7 linked regions of the Sus scrofa genome follow. The protein of the gene in region 4 purifies or fractionates together with the protein of the main gene of each other region. This does not show direct contact. Links are inferred from orthologs where the notes say so. Each region holds a gene or a part of one and is shown on either strand. Other genes may lie near its edges. The genes, in order: LARP1, YBX3, CNOT11, RC3H1, CNOT2, CNOT7 and CNOT10.

Region 1 (3,500 bases), on a different chromosome or scaffold from region 4:
ACCTTCCCAAAGACTTAAGGGGCAGGTGATGAGTGAGGGAAGGAGAAAGGACTGATGTCCTTGAGTCCCAGGATCATTTGTCCCCATAGCACAGGCAGTCCAGCCCTAACACAGTCTTTCCTTCTTCCTCCCCCATCAGAGCGGAAACGCTTAGGCATTGGCCAGTCTCAGGAGATGAACACTCTCTTCCGCTTCTGGTCTTTCTTCCTCCGAGATCACTTTAACAAGAAGATGTATGAGGAATTCAAGCAGCTGGCTCTGGAGGATGCCAAAGAAGGCTACAGGTGAATGGGATCAGGGGTGGTGAGGGGTCCCTGTTGGGTCTGCTTCCAGAAGTATAATTGGAAATTTATTGTGTATATGCTTCATACTCTTTATTTCAAAAATGTATTACTTTTGTGTGGGTACTACATTTACATGATTGAGAACTCAAAGAGGTCAGAAGGTTACACAGTAAGACGTCTCCTCATCTTAGTTCCCCAGCCAGCTGGTTCCTTTTCCCACAGCCAGCAAGTACTGTTAGAATCTTGTGGATCTTCTCTAAAAAGGGAACTTTGCTTTATAAGTTCCCTTGTGGCTTGGTGAGTTAAAGATCCAGCCATGTCACTGCAGCAGTTTGGGTCGCTGCTATGGCATGGATTGGCTCCTTGGCCCAGGAGTTCTTGTTGTTTTGTTTTGTTTTTTAGGGCCACACCCATAGTATGTAGAGGTTCCCAGGCTAGGGTCTAATCAGAGCCATAGCTGCCAGCCTACACCACAGCAACATCAGATCCGAGCCATGTCTGCGACCTAAACCACAGTTCATGGCAACGCTGGATTCTTAACCCACTGAGTGAGGCCGGGGGTCGAACGCAACCTCCTGGTTCCTTATCACATTCGTTTCCACTGTGCAAGGACAGGAATTCCTGGCCCAGGAGTTTCTAAATAAATAAACAAAATTTAAAAATGCAAGTACTTTGCTTATTATGTAGGCGAGGGCAGACCTATGTAGTCTTCCACACACAACGTTTCACCCCTTTTGTTTACACAAAAGATGGTCTCTTTTGGATACTATTTTGTAGCTTTTTGCTTTTTTACTTATTTATTTATTTGTTTTTGGCCGTGCCCACGGAATGTCTAAGTTCCTCGGCCAGCAATCAAGATTACACCTGAGCCACAGCAGTGACCGGAGCCACTGCAATGACAACACTAGATCCTTACCTGCTGTGTCACAAAGGAACTCCATTGCTCTATTTTAGAGATCATTCCATATCCATGTATAAATAACTTTCTTCTTCTTTTTTATAGCTCCTGTGGTCTTAGACTGTATGGATATACAATAATTTACTTAATTATAGACTGTTAGGGTGTTTTGGCTGCATCCATGGCATTCAGAAGTTCTGGGACCAGGGATTGAACCTGAACCACAGCAGTTACAATGCCGGATCCTTAACTCTGTGCCTCCAAGAAACTCCTAACCAGTCTCCTACTAATAGACACTTGAGTTGGTTCCAATATTTTGCTCTTTTAAAACAACAAAAAACTTTTAAAAAGATACTTTTTTTTTCCTCCCAAGTAAAATGTTCTCTCTGTAAGCAGTTTGTAAAGGGATAGCAATATTGAAAGAGCTGGGAGAGAAAGATGCCCTTCAGTCCAGAGACAACCAGTGTTAATGTTCAGTCGTATTTCGTGTATTTAGATCATGCATTGAATGCCTTTTTTATTTATGTCTTATTTATCATTTAAAAGAATGAGCGTTTTTCTGTGTCTTTAAGATATTTAACTTTTTTGTCTTCCTAGAGAAGACAGTCCATGTTTTTGCTGGAAGTTTAGAAAATAGAGTTAAAAAAAATTTTTTTTTTTCCTTTTGCTTTTTGTGGCTCCCCCACGGCATCTGGAAGTTCCCAGGCCAGGAGTCAAGTTGGAGCTGCAGCTGCCAGCCTACAATGCCACAGCTACAGCAACACCAGATCCAAGCCTCTCTGACCTACAGTCACACACTGCGGCGACTCTAGATCCTTAACCCACTGAGCAAGGACAGGGATCAGACCTGCTTCCTCATGGATACTAGTCAGATTCTTAACCCACTGAGCCACAGCAGGAATAGTCGTGTCCTGTCAGACTTTGTACACGTGCAGATATAAAATACATATTTGTTTACAAAAATGGACATTCTACATGTAACACTTCTCATTATCCATCAATGTATATTTACATTGTAATTTTTAATATATTTTGTTGTAAAGAGTTAACATGATTTTTCTTAACCACTTCTGCAAGACATTTAAATTTTTTTAATGCTTCTATGAGTAATTTTATACATCTATAAAATTCTAAATTTTGGTCATTTCCCTGGTATATGTTCCTAGAAATGAAATTTCTGGAATTCCCGTCGTGGCGCAGTGGTTAACGAATCCAACTAGGAACCATGAGGTTGCGGGTTCGATCCCTGGCCCTTGCTCAGTGGGTTAAGGAGCCGGCGTTGCCATGAGCTGTGGTGTAGGTTGCAGACGTGGCTCGGATCCCGCGTTGCTGTGGCTCTGGCGTAGGCTGGCAGCTACAGCTCCGATTAGACCCCTAGCCTGGGAACCTCCATATGCCACAGGAGCGGCCCAAGAAATGGCAAAAAAAAAAATTTCTGAGTCCAATAGATTAACAAAACTCCTAATTGGCATGGTCACATAGCTTTGCAGAGGGCTCATATCAGGGATTGACAAACTTTCCATAAGAGATACACAACAAATCTTATTAGGCTTTGTGGGGCATAAGGTATCTGTTGCAACTGCTCAGCTCTGCTCTTGTAGCAGAAAGCAACCAGTGTGATACTTCATAAGCAAGTGGGTATGGGTAGTAGGCTGTTAACTCATTTAGCCCAAGTTTGCTGGTTCTTGACAGACATTTAGATTCGCCTTTAATGTTAGCCTTCTCAAAGAAGGCTTACCATTTTCTCAATCCACTTGTTTAAACTGTTTCATAGTTTATCTAGAATCCAGGTACAGTTCCTGTTTTAGATAAAAAAAAAAAAACTGTGTCCTGGTTTTACTGACTTGTATTCTCCTACAGGTATGGTTTGGAGTGCCTTTTTCGATACTATAGCTATGGCCTGGAAAAGAAATTTCGGCTGGACATTTTCAAGGACTTTGAGGAAGAAACCGTGAAGGACTATGAAGCTGGTAAGAGAGTTGAGGCTCTTTGAGCCCTGGTCATCCTGATCTTATGTTCTCTGCCCTGCACTCTGCCTGGTCTGTATCACATCACACCTCCCTCTGTCAGCCACCCAGCTTCTCTCTACCTCTCTCCTCTTTCCCTGCAGGCCAACTCTATGGGCTGGAGAAGTTCTGGGCCTTCTTGAAATATTCCAAAGCCAAAAATTTGGACATTGACCCCAAACTTCAAGAATACCTCGGCAAATTCCGTCGCCTCGAAGACTTCAGAGTAGATGTAAGTGGAAGTCTCTCATCTTCCCCACCCTGGTTGTCCAGGAAAAGAAAACCGGACCAGAGATCAGGATACCTGTGTTC
Region 2 (3,500 bases), on a different chromosome or scaffold from region 4:
TGGTGGCAGCTAGAGTAAAAGGACTTCCCCAGTTTCTGCACTGGTGGCCAGCTTCATTTGCCTGTGAGTGTCTGACCTGATTCCAGCCCCCTGAGGTCGTGGTGAGTCACCTCCATGTGTTGAGACTTGCCCAGTTTAACAGGAAAAAGGGAACAAGCCGGCAGGGAGGGGCTGTTTTTGGAATGGCTGATGTTCAGGCTCGGTGCGTATATCCTGTCCAGAACTGCCTTCTTCCTCTGTGGGTGAGGTCTCTCTGCCCTATTGGCTCATTCTTTTTTTTTTTTTTTTTTCTCCCTCCTACTCAGAGTAAGGGAAGGGCTGGATTACACATGCCTAATCGCTTTATAAAATAAGGTTGACCTAGTTCCATAGAAACTCAGAGCCCCTTTAACTACTTAGAGATACCAGCTAAAGAAATGGGAATTCAGTGTAGAAATTATTCTCTTCCCTCCATTGATTGACAAAGAAAGGCCATTCATATACAGATATGTAGGTACAGCTGTTCAAGGCAGGATAATATCTTCATTAATCTTTTAATGTCTTATCTCGGGGTACATATAGGGATGAGGTGACATGTGAATGATGTGATGGGAAAAAGCTGAGTAAATATCATACAGTTACAGTACAGGGGAGTACGTTTCCCCACCTGCCCTATTACGCTTCCCCTACCTACCCTCCTCCTTCCCACCTTCTTCCCCAAGCCAGTATTTTTATAACCGCAGAAAAATCCACTTATCAGCCTCTGTTTGGTTCCCTTATCCATAAAATGGGAGAGAAGAAGAAGACTGTCAGTAATGTTTTTTTCTTAAGGTAATTTTGTATATTCTGTCAGAAATATTTATCCTCTTGGCATTTTCGAATTTTCTTTTGAGGTTAGCACTTTCTGCTGTCTTCAGACATTTCTAGCCCCAAAGTGTATTTTTGTCTTTATGTGTGCATGTAAGATTTCATGAAGGCATCCCCCCAGTCCCCCCCCCCCCGCCCATTAATGGAGGTGTAGTCTGGATCTAAGACGGTAGTGTGAGGGAATGAATCTATCCAGTATCATGACTGGGTGGTAGGCTGTGGCTATACGTTCAGTTTAATCCACCTACCAAGATGAATTTTGAAGGATAACATGAATCAATAAAATAATGTAAAACATAGTTTTTAGAGGTTTTTTGTTTTGGAGAGCCAGGCTAGTTGGAAGAATACTTTTTTTTAGGGCCACACCTGCGGCATATGGAAGTTCCCAGGCTAGGGGTCGAATCAGAACTGCAGCTGCTGGCCTACACCAGAGCCACAGCAACGCGGGATCCGAGCTGTGTCTGCAACCTACGCCACAGCTCACAGCAATTCCAGATCCTTAACCCACTGAGTGAGGCCAGGGATTGAACGCGCATCCTCATGGATACTTGTCGGATTAGTTTCTGCTAAGCCGTGGCAGGAACTCCCAGAAGAATACTTTTAAAAAGTAATATTAGATCAACAATTTCTTCAATATAGCCAGCAAACTTGAAAGCAGTGAAATCTGTGGCCGATTTTGACATATACTTCACTTAGAATTTTCTGTTCTTTTGACAGACTGCCATCAAGAAGAATAACCCACGGAAGTATCTGCGCAGTGTAGGAGATGGAGAAACTGTAGAGTTTGATGTGGTTGAAGGAGAGAAGGTGAGAGGAAATTGTGGTTGGATATCCTAAGGTTTCTTTCATAGTAAATGGTCTCTCATCAGCCTTGGATTTTTTTTGTAAGGCAGAAAGGTGTGACTTTTAAGTAAAAATATTTCTATTTATTGTCATTATATACATTGTTTGAGGTTGTATAAAAAAGAGTATTTTAATTTATATTTTAATAAATGATGACTATTATTTAATCAAAGAAGTAAAAGCTAATTTCTCAAGATTTAAAATGACATTTAGGTACCAAATGTATATTCAAGAGTAGATTAAAATTAAACTGTTTTATAGTGTTAAAAATAGATAAAAGCTGCTTTGGGGCCAAAGATATTTTTTTCTAAGAATAAAGTTTTTAGGCTGTGATTTGTAAGTGCTTCTACAGAGTTTCATGCTATTAGATATTTAATTCCAATGTTAGTAATGTCCTTTAATCTTTGTCCTTTAACCAGTGGTCTCTCATATATAGATAATCAGTAAAACAGTATGAGATAAGAATAGAAACATTTTAAAACTATATATGGTACAGCTGCCATGACAGCTAAGTGTGGCAGTGAAATTATGAGCTGAGTGACTGACTGCTTAATTCCTGTGTGTGCTCTTTTCACATACACACCATCCCATAGTCCATATTCTTAGCAGCTCTCGAACTGTTTTCTGGTTTTCTTTTTTTAAAAATCACTTTATTTCATCTAATACAGAAGTTTAAATGATTTCTTTACCACTGTGATCCCCAAGGTATCTTGCAAATCTCTGAGTTTCAAATTATCTACCAGCAAAGACTGATCTATAATCATCTGTCGTGTCCAATTCTTAAAGTTTTGTTTGGCCGGGGAAATTTTACCTCAGTATATTTTCATAATTTAAGGTTTTACAGATTGATGTAGAGTGGGAAACACACACTTCGAATCTCTTTTGTCCAAATGTTTTTGAAGCATTACTTGATCCATTTGTCCATGTGAGAAATGGAACGAAGGTCAAGTGTTGCAAAACATAAGAAGAAGGTTTAAAGAGGGACTGCATTTATGCCGAGTTCCTGTCCTGGCTCAGTGGTTAACGAACCCGACTAGTATTCATGAGGACATGGGTTCGATCCCTGGCACAGCTCAGTGGGTTGAGGATCTGGTGTTGCCGTGAGCTGTGGTGTAGGTCACAGATGTGGCTCACATCCCACATTGCTGTGGCCGGCCAGCAGCTCCAGCTCCAGTTCAACCCCTGGCCTGGGAACCTCCATATGCGCACAGGTGCGGCCCTAAAAAGACAAAAGAAAGCCAAAAAAAAACCCACAAAAAAAACAAAAAAACCAGGGGCTGCATTTGTGCAGGCTAAGTCAAGGGCCCTTCCTTCCTGCTGCCTGGATGGGAGAAGTTTTCTCTTACCATAGCTCAATGCTGGACAGAGCCATGTGAGCCCTTGAAGGGACTCTTAGTCTCTCGTAGAGTGACATAGCTTTCAACATTTTCTAGATAGAGAACATGGTTATTTTCCAGTGAGAAATGTTCTTCCTGGTGTAGCATTACTTCCTTTACAGTTGCATTCTATTTACCTTTTATGTTCTCTAAAGAGCCACATATTGCTTTTGACGCAAACAAGAAAGCAAAGGTTGTGGAAGCCAACAAGCTATATACATTTCAATAGCGACATCAGCTTGCTCATCTTATCAAAACGTGGGTGTGTTTTTGAGGTCACAGTAGGCATTTCGAGTAGGTTCTGCCCCTTGTTAACGTGCTGGCTGCCTAAGGTGGTGTTTCTGGTAGTTAGTTTGGCATCTTTTTAATTCCAAGGCTGTCTTTGCTTCTCTTCCTTGTCAGGGTGCAGAAGCAGCCAACGTGACCGGCCCGGAT
Region 3 (3,500 bases), on a different chromosome or scaffold from region 4:
TACACAGATATCAGGAACAAGCATGGTTAAACTCTAGGCATGCTCAAGAGGGAGGGCTAGACAGTAGACAGCAAACTATTAACAGAAAACTCAGGTTAATAATGGGGCTGGAGGGCAGTAATTGAGAAATGCACAGGGAACTTCTAGGTCCTAAAAATATTCCTCCTTCCCCCTCCCCTTTTTACAGCCACACATGTAGAACACAGAAGTTCCTAGGCTAGGGATGGAATCAGAGCTGCAGATGCCAACCTATGCCATAGCCACAGCAACACCAGATGCGAGCTGCATCTGCAGCCTATGCTGCAGCTTGCAGCAACACCAGATCCTTAACCCACTGAGCCACAGGGGGAACTCTAATATTGCTCTTCTCAATTTTAATGGTGGCTGCTCCAGATCTGCTTTAAGAGACCATTAACCCAATGGAAAAATGGCTAGAGACATAAAAGATGTTTAACCTTATTCACTTCATAGGAAAAATGCAATTTTTTATCTCATTTTGCTGAAATACAAAAGGTAGGAAACATACTATTGACCAAGATATAGACAACATTTTTAAATTGGCACACTGTGGTACAAGCGTAGGTGTTTTGCAGAAATTTTAACAAGATAAAATTCTGCCCCTTGTATTTATTTCTGTTTAATTTGCCTGCTTGTTTTCTGAGAATTAGGAAAATGCAACCGCATCAGCCATAAATACACTTTGGTCGTGGATCCCATGAAGACATCTGAATCTCAGGCCGGCTGCTGTAGAGATCAGCTGTGTAGCCAGCGCCAGAGAAGATGGTGCATGCACTTTTTTTTTTTTTCCTTAAGTACTTGTGAAAAGACTGGATTAAGACATCCTCAGTCTGGGCAGAGGACAGCAAAGAGCTTAGGGCTCTTTGCTTAAGAGGGTAGCTGCTGTGCCAGGCTTCTCCGTCCTAATTCTGGTCACCTATTTCTCAGCTTGACATAACTTTAAAAGTTTTGCATTGGCTGATCGGTCATCACAGTTGAAAAGGAGATCAGATCCAATTCTTTATTGAATACAAAGCCAGAACCCTCAGAATATACACTGCTTCTAAAAGTAGGACTGAAATTGCTCATCATTTCTCCAACCAGTTTTCATCCTGTGGTTAAGGAAACAGTTGCTTTATGTCTGTAAATAGACTGCATCTGGCATTGTGGCTAATAAGCACTTTTACACAAACCATGAGACCCATGCAACCTTCAATCTTAAAAGTCTGAAAAAGATTTCTCTTGGTCACAGAAAATTGTTATATTATTAGTATCTAGGAGTTCCCACTGTGACACAGGGGTAAAGAATATGACTTCGGCAGCTTGGAGGTGCTGGGAGCAAGGGTTCGAACTCTGGCAGGGTAACTTCCATGTGTTGTGGATGTGGCCATTAAAAAAAAAAAAAAACTAGTAGTTTAAAAATGAGGTTTAGAATACTCCAAGGAGGAGTTCCCATTGTAGCTCAGCAGAAATGAACCCAAATAGTATCCATGAGAATTTGGTTTCAATTCGGGCCTTGCTCAGTGGGTTAAGGATCTGGGGTTGCCATAAGCTTTGGTGTGGACTGCAGACATGGCTCAGATTTGGCACTGCTGTGGTGTAGGCTGGCAGCTGCAGCTCCGACATGACCTCTGATCTGGGAACTTCCATATTCCATGGATGCAACCCTGAAGGAAAAAAGAGAATACTCCAAGGAAAAGTTTATTGAAAGATGTCACCTTATATAAAATGCCAAATGTCACAGGTGCATGAAGTCCAAGAAGGAGGGTGTGCTGTCAAAACTAACCCTGAAGCTCATGTATTCACAAGGTCATGGGTTCATGGATCTGGCTAAAGATCAGAATTTCCCCATTGAAGCACTCTTAGGCGATGAGACCCTTGCATCTCAACTTTTGCTTAAGGCGCCACAACAAGAACTCTGGTCCCGTTACTTTCCATCACATCACAAGTGGGCTTCAAGAACACCTCTATATTTGCTTGTATATGTAACACAGAAGGTGCCAAAATGTTTAAACAAAGGAACAAAGTGGAGATCTCACACACTGATTTCAAAAAAGCTACCGTATGGCTTGTTGGATTGGTGTCTAGCTCCCTAAATAAAACCTTTTTTACATGTAAGAAAAAAAAAAAAGACCTACCCTGCCTGAAAATGTGGTACTAGAATAAAGACAAACTGACATAGAAAAGAGAGCCCAGAAATAAACCCTCCCATATATATTCAAATGATTTTCAACAAAGGAGCCAAGAAAGCACTGTTTACTATTCAGGGTCCCTTGAGGTTCCATATGAATTTTCTATTTCTGCAAAACACACCGTTGGGATTTTGATAGAAACTACACTGAATCTGCAGATTGCTTTGAGTAGAAATGTTATCCAGGAAATTTTAAATAGACCAAGTTTTATTCAGCATTTTTCTTAAATAAGGAAAGCAATCGATTCAAGTGGAAACTGAAAATGATATGTCTATCCCATAACAGCAAGGATCCAGTACCAAATCTATGCTTTTCATGGAAAATACATTTTGGCATAAAGACCTTCATTTTAAGTGGAGCATCGCAAGAAAAAAGGCCTAATGCTACCACACAAGACCACCTGAGGCAGGATCCCTCCTTACCGGCCAAGGCCAGCTGAAGCCCGCTGATGTCCACGGACTGGCCCATATTTCCGACATCCATCAAGGCAATCTGTCGAGGGGTCTTTTTGAAGAGTTCCCTTGGGGGTGCCAGCATCAGCTGGGAAAGAAAAAACTTTTCTGGTGGAGTTATAGGAGGTAAAAAGCCTGTAAACAAAAACGTATAACAATTTCTCTAATAGTTATTTTTTAAAATTATCTTAAATCTGCTCAAATTAGCATTTGCTCCTTGCCACCTCAACTCACCTCTTTATTTTTATTTATTTTTTTTGTCTTTTTGCCTTTTCTAGGGCCGCTCCCGTGGCACATGGAGGTTCCCAGGCTAGGAGTCTAATGGGAGCTGTAGCTGCCGGCCTACGCCAGAGCCACAGCAACTCAGGATCAGAGCTGCGTCTGCATCCTCAACCCACTGAGCAAGGCCAGGGATCGAACCCGCAAACCTCATGGTTCCTAGTCGGATTCGTTAACCACTGAGCCACGACGGGAACTCCAACTCACCTCTTTAAAGACAAAATTTTAATTGAAGATTCATTTCATCAAATTTATTTATGCAAATGTAATTAAATAGGAACGGTTCCAGGACCTGCTGTGAACAGCAAAATCCAAAGGTACTTAGGTCCCTTAAGTAAAGTGGTGTAATATTTGCATAGAACCTGCACGCATCCTCCCTTATACTTTATAAATAATCACTACTCACAATACCTAATACAATGTAAATGATACATAAACAGTTGTAAGTACTATGTAAATACTACATAAGTACAATGGAAATACTATGTAAACAGTCACCAAAATTTAGGGTTTGCTTTCTGGAACTCTCTGGAATTTCTTTTGCCCCTTGAATATTTTCTACCAGGGGCTGACTGAATCC
Region 4 (3,500 bases):
TATGTAACTCCACATACACTGTACTGGAGCTCTATAGGCCACTTCAGTTTTAGTATATACAGCAATGCTGGACATAGTCCTTTGTATCCCACAGTGAATCAGCACTACTTCAAACATTGGTGCCCAGCATGTACCATTTATTATTCATTCTGTTTTCAAGGCTTCTTGGCTTTTGACTCAACACACAAAACACGTACTTAGTGGGCCAAGGAGACATGTCTCAAAAAAATTGTTTTTTGTTTTTGTTTTTCGTTTTTTGCTTTTTTGCTTTTTAGGGCTGTACCCACAGCATATGGTGGTTCCCAGGCTAGGGATCCAGTCCAGTCGGAGCTACAGCTTCCAGCCTACGCCAGAGTAGGGAATTCCTGTCATGCTGCAGTGAAAACGAATCTGACTAGGAACCACGAGGATGCGGGTTTGATCCCTCTGAAAAATAAAGGGCTCAAATACCCCAGAACACCCAAAGTGAACCTCTCTTAATCCTAATTAAAAGTAATTTTAGTAGTAATTTTTAAAAGATTGCTATATGTAAAAATCCAGTTATTTTTCAATTGGGTCGTTGTTATTTCCCTATATTTCGTTGTCAACTTACTTTCTTCTCTTGGTGGTAGTTTGTACTACATTCTCAATAATGAAAAAATTCATCTTCTCTCATCGCAGTAGGTCCATACCCTAAACTTCACTACTGTGGCAGAGTCTACCAACGCCCATTTTATCTTCTTTATGGAACTCAGACAGCATTTTCCATTCTTTACCAGGTGTTTATGTCTATATAGTTGTGTTCTAGCTGTGTCTTTTTAGCATCTTTTTTATTGCCATTGAAAAATCTTTTCAAGCTGCAGGATAATTCTGGTCATTCTTAAGACATTGCATCTCTTGGAAATCTTTGAGTGTGTTTAGTTAAGAGTTTTGAGAGCCAAGTCCAGGGGATCACTGCATCATATAGAATGCTTATTCTACATTTTGATGAGGTTTAACCTGTATTGAGAGGGTGTTTTCATATACATACACATACCTTTGGTCTTTTAACTTATCTTTCAATGGGGTAAAATACGTTTAGCTTTTGTGACTATAGTTCTTGATTTTTTTTAAAAAAAAATTTGGTCTCTCTGTGGACTTTTACTAACAAAATTTAAGTTAGACTTTTTTGTGATAATAATAGAATACATTTAAAAATAATGTCATTGTGACCCAGAAGTCCTAAGTAAAATAGTCTGTAGTTTCTTTGATAAAAAGGAAAAAAAATGGAAATTTTCTGCCAGAGGAATTTGAGTCTTTGTGGGAATAAAAGATGGGCAAGGTAAAGTAAGTTGTAAAATATTTTAGGATATAGGTGATCTTGCACTAGAATGGATCATTTTACTTTGATTGAATAAGCCTTTAGCCTAAATCCAGCTTGACTCAAAATGTGTGATACCAATAGTACCTACCTCACCAAGTTTAAATAATTAAATGAGTTGGAGTTCCCGTCGTGGCTCAGCAGGAATGACGCTAAGTAGTATCTAGGAGGATAGAGGTTCAATCCCTGGCTTTGCTTAGGGGGTTAAGGATCCGGCATTGCCATGAGCTGTGGTGTGGGTTGAAGACATGGCTCAGATCTGGCATTGCTGTGGCTGTGGCATATGCTAGCAGCTGCAACTCTGATTTGACCCCTAGCCTGGGAACCTCCATATGCTGCAGGTGCAGCCCTAAAAAGTCAAACAAAAAACAACAACAAAACAAAACAGAAAGAATTAGATGAGTTAATATGTCATTATAACTTAATAAAGTAACCTAACACACTAACTGGCACATACTACATGCTCAGTGTCAATTATTTTTATTACCGAAAATAATTATTATTAAATTATTACAGCCCAGCATCTTAGAATGTGCCCTTTTTTTTTTTTTTTTTTTTTTTGACCACACTTGCAGCATATGTAAGTTCTCAGGCTAGGGGTCGAATCGGAGTCAGAGCTGTAGCTTCCAGCCTACACCACAGTCATAGCAACACCAGATCTGACTGCATCAGCAACATACACCACAGCTTACGGCAACGCTGGATCTTTAACCCACTGAGCAAGGCCAGGCATCAAACCCACATCTTCATGGATATTAGTTGGGTTCATTACCACTGAGCCACAATGGGAACTCTATAATTTGCCCTTTCTTATGGTGTCCTAACTTACAAACTCCATGGATAATTAAACCAAGTACAAATTAGTCATCTTTAGAATTATACCATCATCTGAAGCTCTTTCAGTTATGGTACCAGCTAGCTCAATACCAGGCAAAGTAATAAATCACAGATAGGAAGAAGAAACATTGTTTTTCAGAATTATTACGTATTTCCTTTTTCCAAAGGATTTTCATATCTATACTTATCATATAAAGTATAAACCCTGTTTGTTTCTTATCTGACTCTGGGGGATTACATGTGTCTTAATAGGTCACCAAACGTGATGAAGACTCTTCGTTGATGCAGCTGAAAGAAGAATTTAGAACCTATGAAGCTCTGCGTCGAGAACATGACTCCCAGATAGTGCAGATTGCTATGGAAGCAGGCTTACGAATTGCACCTGACCAGTGGTCCTCTTTGCTTTATGGAGACCAGTCTCACAAATCTCATATGCAGTCTATTATTGACAAGGTAGACTCTGGTTTGTTCTTCCTTCTTGAACTAATCTCGGAGTTTTTATTATTCATGATTTGGTAATTCATTTGTATATCAAATGCATATTAAAGAAAATATTGTATGTCAGGTCCTTATAAATTGTATTCACTGTAGCTGGGTGTCATGTCATAAGGTCACACCTTAACACTAGTTTGTTCATATAAAGTTTTTTTTTTTTTTTTTTTTGGTTTGGTTTGGTTTTTCTTTTTAGGGCCACACCCATGGCATATGGAAGTTTCCAGGCTAGGGGTCAAATCGTAGCCACAGCTGCCAGCCTACACCACAGCCACAGCAATGCCAGATCTGAGCCACAGATGTGACCTACACCACAGCTCATGGCAATGCTGGATCCTATAGTATCTGTGTCCTCATGGATGCTAGTCGGGTTCATTACCACTGAGCCACAACAGGAACTCTTTCAAATGGTTTTTTATTGAGGTATCTTTGACAATATTCATGTAAGATTTGATTTTGATTATGTTTCAGTCTTTTATCCAGTGCTCTGTCAGATTCCTTTGCGTCTCCCATATCTGTTTTATTATTGCCTCTCTCCTTTCTTTTGTTTTCTGAGTTTTGATTAGTGTTAGTTAAACCCGTTTTCAAAATGCCTTTTTTGTTTTCTTGGAGCAGCCATTTAATGGCCTGAAAGATGTCTGCATTGAGGTTTCTTCTCTTCTTAGCCAGAATGATTTCACATAATAAGTTACCAACCATTCTAGGTTTGATCAAATTTTCAGTAAAGTTATTTCTACTTTGTTTTTTGTTATGATGAAAAGATCATTTGAGTACACACCAATTTTAGGTCAGTGTCCACTATTTCTGACTCTTAGAGCTATATTTAATTCTC
Region 5 (4,103 bases), on a different chromosome or scaffold from region 4:
GGAGTGTAGGTTTTCATTACATGATATTTTTTTTAGTGACTGCACATGGAGGTCCTTGGGCCAGGAGAGTGAATCCAAGTCACAGCTGCGTCAGTGCCAGATCCTTTAACCCACTGTTCCTTAGTGGGAACTCCTTATTACATTAATTCTTTTAAAAACTTAAATCTAATAACACTAATTTTTAAAGTTTTGTTTTCCTTGAAAAATTTTTTGCCTTCTTACTAGATTGCTTTTTAGAGGTAATATATTTGTATATGTATTTGTGTGTTGATCTTAATAAAAATGATTTGCACTTCTTATGAATTTAAATTAGATGTTTTTATTTTCCTCTCCCAAAGTGAATTTTGTCTGATGTTAAATAATTGCTCTAAATTCGATTATAATTTTTAGGAGTTAGCAACTATTGTTAATTCACTAGGTGTATATACTATATACTCCTTCATTCGGGTAAACATTTTACTAAAAGTTAGGAGAGTGACATTTGTCTTGAAAATATTTAGAAATTTTTTGTAGGTACCACTTTTGAATTTTTGATCTTTCATTTTCAGTTTATATTTTTGAGTTAGCATCTCTAGCAACTATTACCTCTGTTTCGGTGATCTTTTGATGCCTGAGGAATACAGTGCCTAGTCATTTTGGATTTATTTCTCTGACCAGGTTAAGAAATAAGCTTCATTATGTTTCTGCCCTAATGTAAAAAAGAAAACTCTATTAAAGCATGCAAAAAATTGGAGAATTGAAGGACCTAGGAATCTAGAAAGTTGACAGTTGTTATTACTCTTCATTGGAGTAAATTTTAATAGAATATTGACTTAGGTTTGCACCTGTTAATCATCCTAAGATTATATGATGTATTCCCATCTTATGGCATAAGAATAAACTCCATAAACTGAATGAAGGGGGATTTGAAATTAAATGACTGAATCTGAATTAATTGGGTATTTCTAATACTAACAAATTGTTTATTTAAAAAAGGTAATGTCGATTAAGGGCTTAACTTTTTTGTCCACTCCATTTTTATTCACTATAAGTTTCTTCCTATGTGTGAGGTATGTGGCGAACAGTTTTAATAGGAGAGAGTAGAAGTGGGAGGGAAAAGTTTTTCATGCTTAATAATTTCTGTGTCAAACAAAGTATGTCTGGCAGTCTAGCCCTTCTTTGATGGTTAAGAGGAAGATCAGTTAGGACATTAAAAAAAAAAAGTTTTGGTTTTGTTTTCTTTGTATCATATTGGTATTTTTGGTACTGTTCATATATTTTACATGTTAGTAATTTTGATGGCTTTTGGATAATTCCACTCTAGAGGGAGAACTGGTGGGCGGTCCTTCCTGTGACACGACCCTTGAGTGACAGTTCTATTTGATTGCCTCCAGTACTGTGAGGAAAGGACACGACTCTATGGTGAGGACTGATGGACATACATTATCTGAGAAAAGAAACTACCAGGTAAGATCAATTTTATTTTGCTTTCTTCTGTTGGTCACGTAATTACATTGAACTGTTTAATATGTTGTATTTAGGAACCAGCAGATTGGATAGACCTCAACCTGAAAAATGTGGGTTATAATTTTTTAAATGATATATGTATATATATGGCTTAATAGTTGAAATAGTTTGGAACATTTTTCATAATAAAGCATACTTATAAGAAATGTGTATTCTTTTAGTGTCAGAACATAAATTTTCTCCTGTGTGTGTATATATGTCAAAACTTAGATTATCTGATGCACAATTTTTGACTTTGTGGCTGGATTCAGACCTAGTATTTCATAAAATAAAATATTGATTGCTTTTACACGTATGATTCCTGGAAGACTAAAACTGAAGTCTTAGATTATATTGAGGGTACTAGAGCGTTACAGAAATGTAGACAAAATTGGTTAGCATTTAGAAGAAATAGAAATGAAAATTCAGGGTGTTCAGAGACCCAGATTCTATTGAATTGTCATTGGCTTGCTGTTCTCATAATTTCTCATTTATTAAGTTAGTTTATAAATCCATTCCCTATGAAGTATGTAAGGATGCTAATACGATGGTTGAAGTGTAATATTTTTGTTTCTTTCTCAGCTTATAAAAGAAGGTGAATTTTAAAGATAGTGCTATTAAATAGTGATTTCAAAACCCATAATATTTGAATTTAGTTTTTTCAAAGACATTTGGCTTTATTCATTTGACAATAATTTAATATCAAATTATGTAGTGATTCAGAATACAGAATAGTTCATAGCTCAAGTAGGGGTAAGCTTCAGACTTCCTGCACAGGTACCTATCTAACCTCTCCCTCTTCCACTTACCAGTTTTATTCCCTCTAGGCTGTGAAGGCAACTAGTCTGATAGTAGATGCTTTTGTTAACTAACCATTTGTCTTTTAATTATTTATTTTGGCACAATTAGTCTTTTCTTCCCTCAGATTGGAAGAGTGAACAGTGAAGAAAATTGTAAATGGTGAAATAGTAAAGAACCTTTGAGCATAATACTTAGGTTCTGGTTTGGGCTCTGTCCTAATACAAAATACTGTCATATTTAACCTTTGTAGAATTTGACCTAATTTGATGTCTGAAGTTTCTCACCAGATTTTTATAATTTTAATAAATCAGAGTAAGCTATGACTATATAGAATCAGTTCTCTCTGTAACCTTTTCTGTTCTGAGTTGTTTTTATTGGCTCAAGTGACGTGGCCTTTGCTCATTACTTGTAGCTCCTGCCTCAAAACCGCTTCCATCTACCTTGACTCATAAGATTTTAATTGGTTACACTGCTTGGGCTATTATGTCTTTTGATAGAATCTGCTAAATTACTTTAAGAAATTGTGATTGTGCATTATGTGGCTTTTAAGTGTTTATAATCCAGTTAATAAAATGTAAGTATAGAACTTTTTTATGATCATATGGTATGGTTAATTGACTACAGAATCTAATAATAGAGAATTCCAAATTTTACACATTAGAAAGGAATAAAATGAGATATTTTACACATGAAGAGATTTCCTAATTTCTGTTCATTCTACTCTAAAAAAATTATTTGGAATCACACTATTTCAGTCACATTATTTATAAATAATCCAAGTGTTTTTGAGCTTACCTGAAAATGCATTCATTCTTGGTTAGGGTTTTTCTACCTGAAAATATTTTTCCTTTTCTTTTTTGTGTTATGTAGTTATGCATGTTGAAATATTCCTGAAAACTGTTCTTTAAATTTCCATTGTAAAATTATTTTATTTTTAAAAGCCTCCTCTGAAAAGTGAATGTATAGGAATATAATTTGCTGTCTGATAATTATGAACATATTAACAGCATATGGGAAATTTAAAGGAATATTAGATAAATTTCTAATATTTATATTGTTAGAAGTAGGATTTGTATATGCAGAGATGAAATGATTTGGGTTTTTAAAGATTTCATTTTGGAGGAATTTTGTTGTTTCTCATGAATAAAGTAGAATTTCTTTGTATCCGTGTATACTCATTTTACGTTTGAGGCCTTTTGTTTTTGGAGGGTGCTTGATGTCTTATAGTGATATTTAAACATTCTGATAGTATAGGCTAATATTCCGGAGTTAATAAGAATAATATTTTTCCAGTTCTTATTTCATTATGGACCTGATTAAAGACTTCAGAATTAATTTGGGAAGGTGCATTCCCTCAGCTTCCTGCTAAGAGCTGGTGACTTCAAATGGATGTTGGTTAAAGTATTAATTTTTCTACCATTATCTATTTCATGTTTTTTATTTCTTACTGTACGTTTAAGCCCAGTTAAGTTTTTTGCGTTTGAGTAGAGTAGTTGAAGTTTATTTGTGTATATAGACTGGTATGTTAGTCTGAACTAAATAGTTCAGACAAGTTAATTTAATTATATGAATGGTTTATAGTTCATTCTTTTTTGTAAGAATTGTAAAGCTTCTGCCAAGGGAATGTAACATCAGTTTTTGTTTAGAATTTTCTTATCTTCCTCTCATTTACACTGATTTATTCCAGCTATGAGCATGCATAAATCTAACCATATTAATTGCCAGATAACTTATCAGTGTTGTCTTTGTCTCTCTTACATAATAAAGACTAGCTCCTAAACATTACATATAAAATCTTGCCACATTCCTATGCCACA
Region 6 (3,500 bases), on a different chromosome or scaffold from region 4:
GTAATCCTTAAATAGAGAACTTTCTAAGGGGTATCAAGCTGTCCACAGCAAACATCTGAAAAATTAAAGATGAATGGAAACTTGGAAAAAAGCCAAAAGATAGAGAATTGGCATTTAGAAGGCAAAAATTAATGCATATCCTCCCATTTTTTATATAAAGAGGTCACATACTTCAAAAATCCAGAGTGTAATTCTTAACAAAGTATTTTCACTTCCCTTAAGTGATTTTATTAATAAGTACTCTCTTCACTCAAAATTCTGTTCCTATCTCAATCCCCAAGAGATAGGAATGCTGCTCATGAAAGAAGGAAGGTAGCAAAAGCTGAGAACTACTAACTAGAGAATAAAAAACTCCCCACTCTCAAGATCTCCTCTTCCTGTTGTTTAGCTTTCGCCACAGGTTTATATCGCCCCACATTTCCCCCACAATCGCACCTCCTTCTCCCTGTCTACCTTTAAGGACCTCTATCCGAAGCCTTCCCTAAAGAGCTCAGCTCCCACAGAGTTCTCAGACAAGTTCTTTTTTATCACCCTTTAAAGCGTAGGTATTGTTTTCTCCATGCGTTTAAAGGGAGGTATCACATCTTAAAAAAACTTTCCATTTAGTTAGGACTCAAATATTTGATGACAGATGCTACTAAGATATCTTTTAAAGGAAGATTACAAATAAATTTCTATTCAAGGTTTAGAATTATACTTCTTAACACGGAGAAAAACAAATTTTTAATACTGAAGACCATTAAGGAATATCAAGGTATAAACAAACGCTAGAAACCTTTAAATTTCTGGCAGTTGACAAGAAAGTAACTTCTTTATCTACCTAAAATACAAGTCAATATATTGCTTACTACTAGGTAAAAACAAGTTGTTTTAGAATTTAGTATTTATAAATTTCTTAAGTCCTTATCTACTAGAAATAAGACTATGAAGAAAATATTTAATGACATTTAGGAGAATGAAATCTTACATATCTTGACAATACTCAAATAGTCAAACCTAGATTCAAGACATGACCCCTGTTTTTGTTCATCTTTTATAAAAAAATTGAAAAATTTTTTTTTGGCCATGACAGGCATCCTTAAGTGGAATCTCAGTTCCCAGACCAGGGATTGAACCCAGGCTGCTGAATCCAACCATTAGACCACCAGGGAACTCCCTGTTTTTATTCATCTTAATATTCCAATGCCTAAAACAAAGTAATGCCTCAGACTATTTTTTGAATGAAAGAACTATCATACATAGTTAAAAAGAGGACAATGCTTTCCAGTTCTTTTGCATCTTCAAGACTAGGGAAGTGAAAAAAGAACTCAAAAAACATCCCTCAAATTACCAGAGACTTAAGCCTCATTTCCTGAGGTACAGACTCAAGTGAAGGAAAACAGAGAAAAAAAGATAGGTGGATATGAGTAAGTTCAATACTCCAGCTCAAAAATGACTGCTTAGTACTACGCTGAGGTTGACGGTATGAACAGTCCTTCACTAGTCTTTTATTACTGAGGCCAGTGCTGGAAATACACAGCATGCAGAAACTTTTTTTTTTTTAAATGCTAAAGTAGACCAAGTGTGAGAATATTAATACCTGCATAATTCAATGCATTTTAAAAACATAACAAAAGGCCAAATAAAATCATTCCCGAAGCACTTTTAGTCCCTGAGTTGCCAGTTTAATGTAGTTTACTTAGATAGGAAAACTCTTTCTCTTAGCTAAAAGTCTGTTTATACAAAATAGAATTTCCTTTCCAGAAATTCTCAACAACCTAATTGTATGATAAGAATTAAAAACTACCATTTATTGAGAATTTACTGTGTGTAGAGCACTTTACTAGATGCTTTAAATATGTCACTACTGATCATTAAAACAATTTAAGCTAATTCTAAGTATTTCTTCCTAATATCCTATTTAAAAAAATTAAAATCCACCACACACACCTCTAGCTTTCTCTTTATCAATTTTTTTCCATAGCATTTACCACCACCTAACAAACTAAAATATACGTTCATCATTTAAAAAACTTGTCTGTCTACTCCCACCAGAATGTGAACTCCATGAAATCAAAATTTTAGTCTATTTTGTTCATAGCTTAATTCCTAGAATATTATCATAGTGCTTGGCATATGAAGGATAACAAATAAATACTTTTAAAATGAATAAATGTTTCCATTCTAAGGCTTAGAAATGTTAAATAACCCTAGGTAACACAGATTCCAAATGGCACTGCTGGATGGAGGGATGGATCGATCGACTGATTTTGGACCCAGGCCCTCACCTCACCAAAAAATATATATTTTTCCACATACCAGTGGTATATGGTAGTTCCAAGGCTAGGGGTCAAATCGGAGCTGCAGCTGCTGGCCTACACCACAGTCACAGCCACTTGGGATCTGAGCCACATCTGCGACCTACACCACAGCTCACGGAAATGCTGGATCCTTAACCCACTGAGCAAGGCTTGGGATTGAACTGGCATCCTCATGAATACTACTTGGGCTCATTACTGCTGAGCCACGAAGGGAACTCTGGGATTGCTGAACTTAAACCAGGTCTACTTTTCCAGCCTGCCCTCTTTCGACTATGCAATACTATCTCTTTGACAGCCTAAAATGGATCCCATATCATTAAATTAACTTTTCAATTAGCTTGGAGAGTTAAGAGACTGCTATATGGCAGCCAATACTTTGTAGAACTAAGCCTGAAATTGCTGACAGAGTGACCCAAACCAAGTGTGAAGCAATCAGGAAATGGTAACACAAATGCCACTTTCAAGGCAATCTTTTTACCTATGAAATGATAACCATTTGACCCCTTCACAGAGGACTACTCCTGAAGTCATAAGAAGTTCTGCAAAGTACTGGGTTTCAATTCCTTCCTCCTCATGTTTTTTAAACTGGATACCAGATGTTGTCAGTAGCTCTATAGAGTCTTGGGCATACATGTCCTCCCTGGCAGGAGAAAAAGAAAGACAACATTCAAAAGTGTCATACTTCAAACTGATTTTCTCCCATTTACATCTAAAACTGTAATGTCAGTAACGAGAGAGAAGATTGGCGTTTAATTCCAAAGCTTTGCATATATGGAGTGAAAATACAATTTAAATATAATGGTCATTAAGTATTGTGGAAAAATGTTCATACAGTAAATAATAATCATTCAGAACAATCCAATGGTAAGATTTTAATCTATACTATCAATTTCATTAGCGGTTCACAAGTTAAATAAATTTAACTGGGTTTGGGGAAAAAAAGTGTCTTCTACTCACCAGCCATTACCACCACAAAGTAACAGACACATTCCTATCAGGGGTTTTTGGTCTCAGCAGCCACTTTAATGCTGCCAAATGGAGCCGCAGCCACAGGGGTGAGGGCCTGGGTCCAACTCCCAGGCTCTCAGCAGTACCAGGAAGAAGACCAAATGCGAAGCATCTGATGTGACTGAGTGAAACTACATTCTATCTTAAATAAAAAGGAGATGCCTCCTCTAACGATGAGCCTTTCAAATGGCC
Region 7 (3,500 bases), on a different chromosome or scaffold from region 4:
TTTTTTTTGTCTTTTTGCTATTTCTTGAGCTGCTCCCACGGCATATGGAGGTTCCCAGGCTAGGGGTTGAATCAGAGCTGTAGCCACCAGCCTACACCACAGCCACAGCAACGCGGGATCCGAGGCGCATCTGCAACCTACACCACAGCTCATGGCAATGCCGGATTGTTAACCCACTGAGCAAGGGCAGGGACTGAACCCGCAACCTCATGGTTCCTAGTCGGATTCGTTAACCACTGTGCCACGACGGGAACTCCTGCAATCAGATTCTTAACCCACTGTACCACAGCAGGAACTCCCAGACTTTTTTATTATTATTTGCTATGGTGGTCTGTGATCAGTGATCATGGATGGTAGTATTGCAAAAAGAGGACTCACTGAAGGCTCACAATGATTAGCATTTTTTAGCAATAACGTATTTTTTTTCTTTCTTTTTTGGCCACACCCATGGCATATGGAAGTTCCCAGGCCAGGGATCAAATCCAAACTGGAGATGTGACTTAGGCCACAGCTGCAGCAATACTGGATCCTTAACCCACTGTTCTGGGCTGGGGATTCAACTGGCACCTTCACAGAGATAGGCCAGATCATTAACCCACTGCAGTACAACAGTAAGTTCTCTTTTTAAGAAAAAACACATTATTGTATTTTACATTATTATTTTTTTAGACATAATGCTGTTGCAGACCTAATAGACTACAGTATAGTCCTTTTATACCCACTGGGAAACCAGAAGATTCATGTGACTTGCTCTATTGAGATATTCAGTTTATTGCAATGGTCTAGAACCATACCCACAATATCACCGAGGTATCATCTGATAATATGTAGGATTTGGGTTATTTGGCATTCTCTTATAATTGCCAAAATTGAAATTTCTACCTATCAGAGGGCAAAGTTATCTATAGTTATATTGGTTTTATCACTGATAGTAGAAAAGTCTTATTTATTTTTGTTGTTTTCTCAGCTAACTTGGTTTTGTTCTTTTAAGTGATGGACAGTCTTCAGCCATTCCTGTAGCCAGCATGGAGTTTGCAGCCATTTGTCTCAGAAATGCCTTGTTGCTGTTACCTGAAGAACAGCAAGATCCGAAGCAGGAGAATGGCTCTAAAAATAGTAATCAGTTAGGTGGTAACGCGGAGAGCAGCGAGAGCAGTGACACTTGCAGGTACTCAAACCTCTTTGACCTCCCTGAGTGAGTCTGCAGGACTTCACTAGACAGCCTCCCTCCTCCAGATGAAGTCCCAAGTCCCAGAATCTACAGACTGAATTTTCAGAGTTCTCTGTTTTGGGTAAAAGGAAAATATGAATGTTTAAGTATTTCTGCAAGAGAGAAATAAGATGAAGGCTATTACTTTCTCCCTTTTTTCTTAACGTGTGTAAACCACTAACATCCAGAATATTTTTTTGTATGATTTTTTTTAATTTTTTTACAGGATATTTCTATGTATTTCTGGTTTCTTAGTATAAATTAACTATTACACCAATCTAGAAATTGAAAGACTTTAGTAATAAAACAAACACTGTTATATGTAGAAAGTTGTTTTTACGTATGGTACCTTTAAATTCAAATCTTCCATCCCAACATTTTTTCTTTTTATTTCTTTCTTCCTTTTTTTAAAGGGCCACACCTGTGACATATGGAAGTTCCCAGGCTAGGGGTCAAATCACAGCTTCAGCTGCCAGTCTTCGCTACAGCCAGCCACAGCCACAGCAACACCAGATCTGAGCTGTGTCTGCAACCTACACTGCAGCTCACAGCAATGCCAGATCCTTCCCACTGGGCGAGGCCAGGGGTTGAACCCGCCGCATCCTCATGGATACTAGTCGTGTTCTTAACCTGCCAAGCCAAAACAGAACTTCCTAGCATTTTTTTCCTGATTATAAAATAAATTCATGTTTATTATAGAAAATTTGAAACAAAGTCATGGAATTTTTTTTCCATCAAAGTGTTATGCTTTACTATAGCTAGTAAAAGACAAAAGAATGAGGAACAGGTGAAAATATTGGAGTGATTTCCTTTGTATAAGTAGAAATATTGTTTTCTGTTAGTTTTTTTTATTTTATCGACGTATTCACAATACTATGTTAGGTTTCTTTTTAAAATTTTTATTGGAGTATAGTTGACACGTTAGAGATTTTTTTAAAGCAGTATTATGTACCGGGGAAAGAAGATAATATACTGTATAGCTTTAACACGTAAGTGATACCAAGTTATTAAGTATTTTTTCAGTGTTTTGATTCTTTGCAGTTTTTTCACAAAAAATTACGTGGGTGTCAGTATAGGGAAACAAAAGTTTACATTTGATTGTTCATGCTTCATAATTAGGAGTCTGTCTTTATTTTAGCAGTAAAAGCCATGATGGAGATAAATTCATTCCGGCACCACCTTCTTCTCCATTGAGAAAACAGGAATTAGAAAACCTAAAGTGAGTATCTAAGCCAAGCTGGCATTGCTTCTATCAGAGTGAGCACATTCTTTATCTCCTTGTTTGTGTTAATATTATGAATTGCATTGATTAAATGTCAGATGTAAAACCAACCTTTCAATCTTGTGATTAAACCCTACTAGTCAGGATGTATTACCTTTTTTAATACATTGTTGAATTGGATTTGTTTATATTTTGTGGGGAATATTTGCTCCTGTGTTCCCAAGGATCGGTGGCGGGTGCTTTTCTTTGCTTAGGATGTCCTGCTTAGGCTTTGGTTTAGGGTTATGCTGATCATGTATGAATGACTTGGTAAATGCTTCTTCCTCTGTTTTCTGAAAGAGTTTTTTTAAGGTGGATGTTACTCTTTCCTCAGATGTTTAATTGAATTCACCAGTGAAACTATCTGGCTTAGGGTTTTTTCAGTGGCAAATTTGGGTAATGGATTCAGGTTTTTCAATAGATGATGCTGTATAGATTTTCTATTTCATTTGTGTCTGGGTAAAGTTATACTTTTGTCTCTGTGAATTATAAGCACCTTTTTTGTTTTGAACAGTCATACATGTATGTTAAAAGGAACAGAGTAGTCCTTTATGTTTAGCCATGTAATTACCGTTTCTTGATGATTCTAGTTCTCATGATATTTCCTTTCAGCCTTGAAGAGCTCCCTTCGGCATTTCCCACAGTACAGGTCTTCATTTTCCTAGTGTTTTGTGTTTGTTTGTTTTTCCGTTTTAAATCTAAAATTGTCTTTATTTCATAGTCATTCTTGGAGGATATTTTCACTGAGTGTAGAATTCTAGGCTTTATTTTTGTTTTTCTTCCAGTCAAGGTGTTACTGTCTTATCTTCTGGCCTCCATGGTCTGATCACAGTCATTGTATTACAGGTGCCATTTTTCTGTCAACATAAACTGTCTTTGTTTTTTGGCATTTAGTCTATAATGAGTCTGTGTGTGATTTTCTTTGTTTTTTAATCTTCCTGGGGGTTAGCTGATTAAGTTTACAAATTTATCTTTCAACAGATCTGGGGTATTTTTGACCATGATTTTTTCATAGTACTTTTGGAAGTA

Evidence for each region.
Region 1: the proteins of RC3H1 (region 4) and LARP1 purify together in Homo sapiens (affinity purification with mass spectrometry, with the first as the bait; 3 studies listed by BioGRID). This does not show direct contact. The link is inferred for Sus scrofa from reciprocal best matches to the Homo sapiens genes RC3H1 and LARP1.
Region 2: the proteins of RC3H1 (region 4) and YBX3 purify together in Homo sapiens (affinity purification with mass spectrometry, with the first as the bait; 3 studies listed by BioGRID). This does not show direct contact. The link is inferred for Sus scrofa from reciprocal best matches to the Homo sapiens genes RC3H1 and YBX3.
Region 3: the proteins of RC3H1 (region 4) and CNOT11 purify together in Homo sapiens (affinity purification with mass spectrometry, with the first as the bait; 4 studies listed by BioGRID). This does not show direct contact. The link is inferred for Sus scrofa from reciprocal best matches to the Homo sapiens genes RC3H1 and CNOT11.
Region 5: the proteins of RC3H1 (region 4) and CNOT2 purify together in Homo sapiens (affinity purification with mass spectrometry, with the first as the bait; 3 studies listed by BioGRID). This does not show direct contact. The link is inferred for Sus scrofa from reciprocal best matches to the Homo sapiens genes RC3H1 and CNOT2.
Region 6: the proteins of RC3H1 (region 4) and CNOT7 purify together in Homo sapiens (affinity purification with mass spectrometry; 5 studies listed by BioGRID, with this or other methods). This does not show direct contact. The link is inferred for Sus scrofa from reciprocal best matches to the Homo sapiens genes RC3H1 and CNOT7.
Region 7: the proteins of RC3H1 (region 4) and CNOT10 purify together in Homo sapiens (affinity purification with mass spectrometry, with the first as the bait; 3 studies listed by BioGRID). This does not show direct contact. The link is inferred for Sus scrofa from reciprocal best matches to the Homo sapiens genes RC3H1 and CNOT10.

The regions. Positions count from the first base shown.
Region 1 is NC_010458.4:68,396,106-68,399,605, reverse strand, and holds part of LARP1 (la-related protein 1), read left to right. Parts: intron 1-139; coding exon 140-284; intron 285-3,042; coding exon 3,043-3,152; intron 3,153-3,292; coding exon 3,293-3,420; intron 3,421-3,500. UniProt on the Homo sapiens protein: RNA-binding protein that regulates the translation of specific target mRNA species downstream of the mTORC1 complex, in function of growth signals and nutrient availability.
Region 2 is NC_010447.5:61,344,368-61,347,867, forward strand, and holds part of YBX3 (Y-box-binding protein 3), read left to right. Parts: intron 1-1,563; coding exon 1,564-1,653; intron 1,654-3,467; coding exon 3,468-3,500. UniProt on the Homo sapiens protein: Binds to the GM-CSF promoter. Seems to act as a repressor. Also binds to full-length mRNA and to short RNA sequences containing the consensus site 5'-UCCAUCA-3'. May have a role in translation repression.
Region 3 is NC_010445.4:53,074,816-53,078,315, forward strand, and holds part of CNOT11 (CCR4-NOT transcription complex subunit 11), read right to left. Parts: intron 2,777-3,500; coding exon 2,612-2,776; intron 1-2,611. UniProt on the Homo sapiens protein: Component of the CCR4-NOT complex which is one of the major cellular mRNA deadenylases and is linked to various cellular processes including bulk mRNA degradation, miRNA-mediated repression, translational repression during translational initiation and general transcription regulation.
Region 4 is NC_010451.4:116,247,433-116,250,932, reverse strand, and holds part of RC3H1 (roquin-1), read left to right. Parts: intron 1-2,428; coding exon 2,429-2,629; intron 2,630-3,500. UniProt on the Homo sapiens protein: Post-transcriptional repressor of mRNAs containing a conserved stem loop motif, called constitutive decay element (CDE), which is often located in the 3'-UTR, as in HMGXB3, ICOS, IER3, NFKBID, NFKBIZ, PPP1R10, TNF, TNFRSF4 and in many more mRNAs.
Region 5 is NC_010447.5:34,469,608-34,473,710, forward strand, and holds the start of CNOT2 (CCR4-NOT transcription complex subunit 2), read left to right. Parts: upstream 1-1,303; 5' UTR 1,304-1,398; coding exon 1,399-1,446; intron 1,447-4,103. UniProt on the Homo sapiens protein: Component of the CCR4-NOT complex which is one of the major cellular mRNA deadenylases and is linked to various cellular processes including bulk mRNA degradation, miRNA-mediated repression, translational repression during translational initiation and general transcription regulation.
Region 6 is NC_010459.5:4,940,094-4,943,593, forward strand, and holds part of CNOT7 (CCR4-NOT transcription complex subunit 7), read right to left. Parts: intron 2,941-3,500; coding exon 2,779-2,940; intron 1-2,778. UniProt on the Homo sapiens protein: Has 3'-5' poly(A) exoribonuclease activity for synthetic poly(A) RNA substrate. Its function seems to be partially redundant with that of CNOT8.
Region 7 is NC_010455.5:18,699,449-18,702,948, forward strand, and holds part of CNOT10 (CCR4-NOT transcription complex subunit 10), read left to right. Parts: intron 1-991; coding exon 992-1,168; intron 1,169-2,348; coding exon 2,349-2,429; intron 2,430-3,500. UniProt on the Homo sapiens protein: Component of the CCR4-NOT complex which is one of the major cellular mRNA deadenylases and is linked to various cellular processes including bulk mRNA degradation, miRNA-mediated repression, translational repression during translational initiation and general transcription regulation.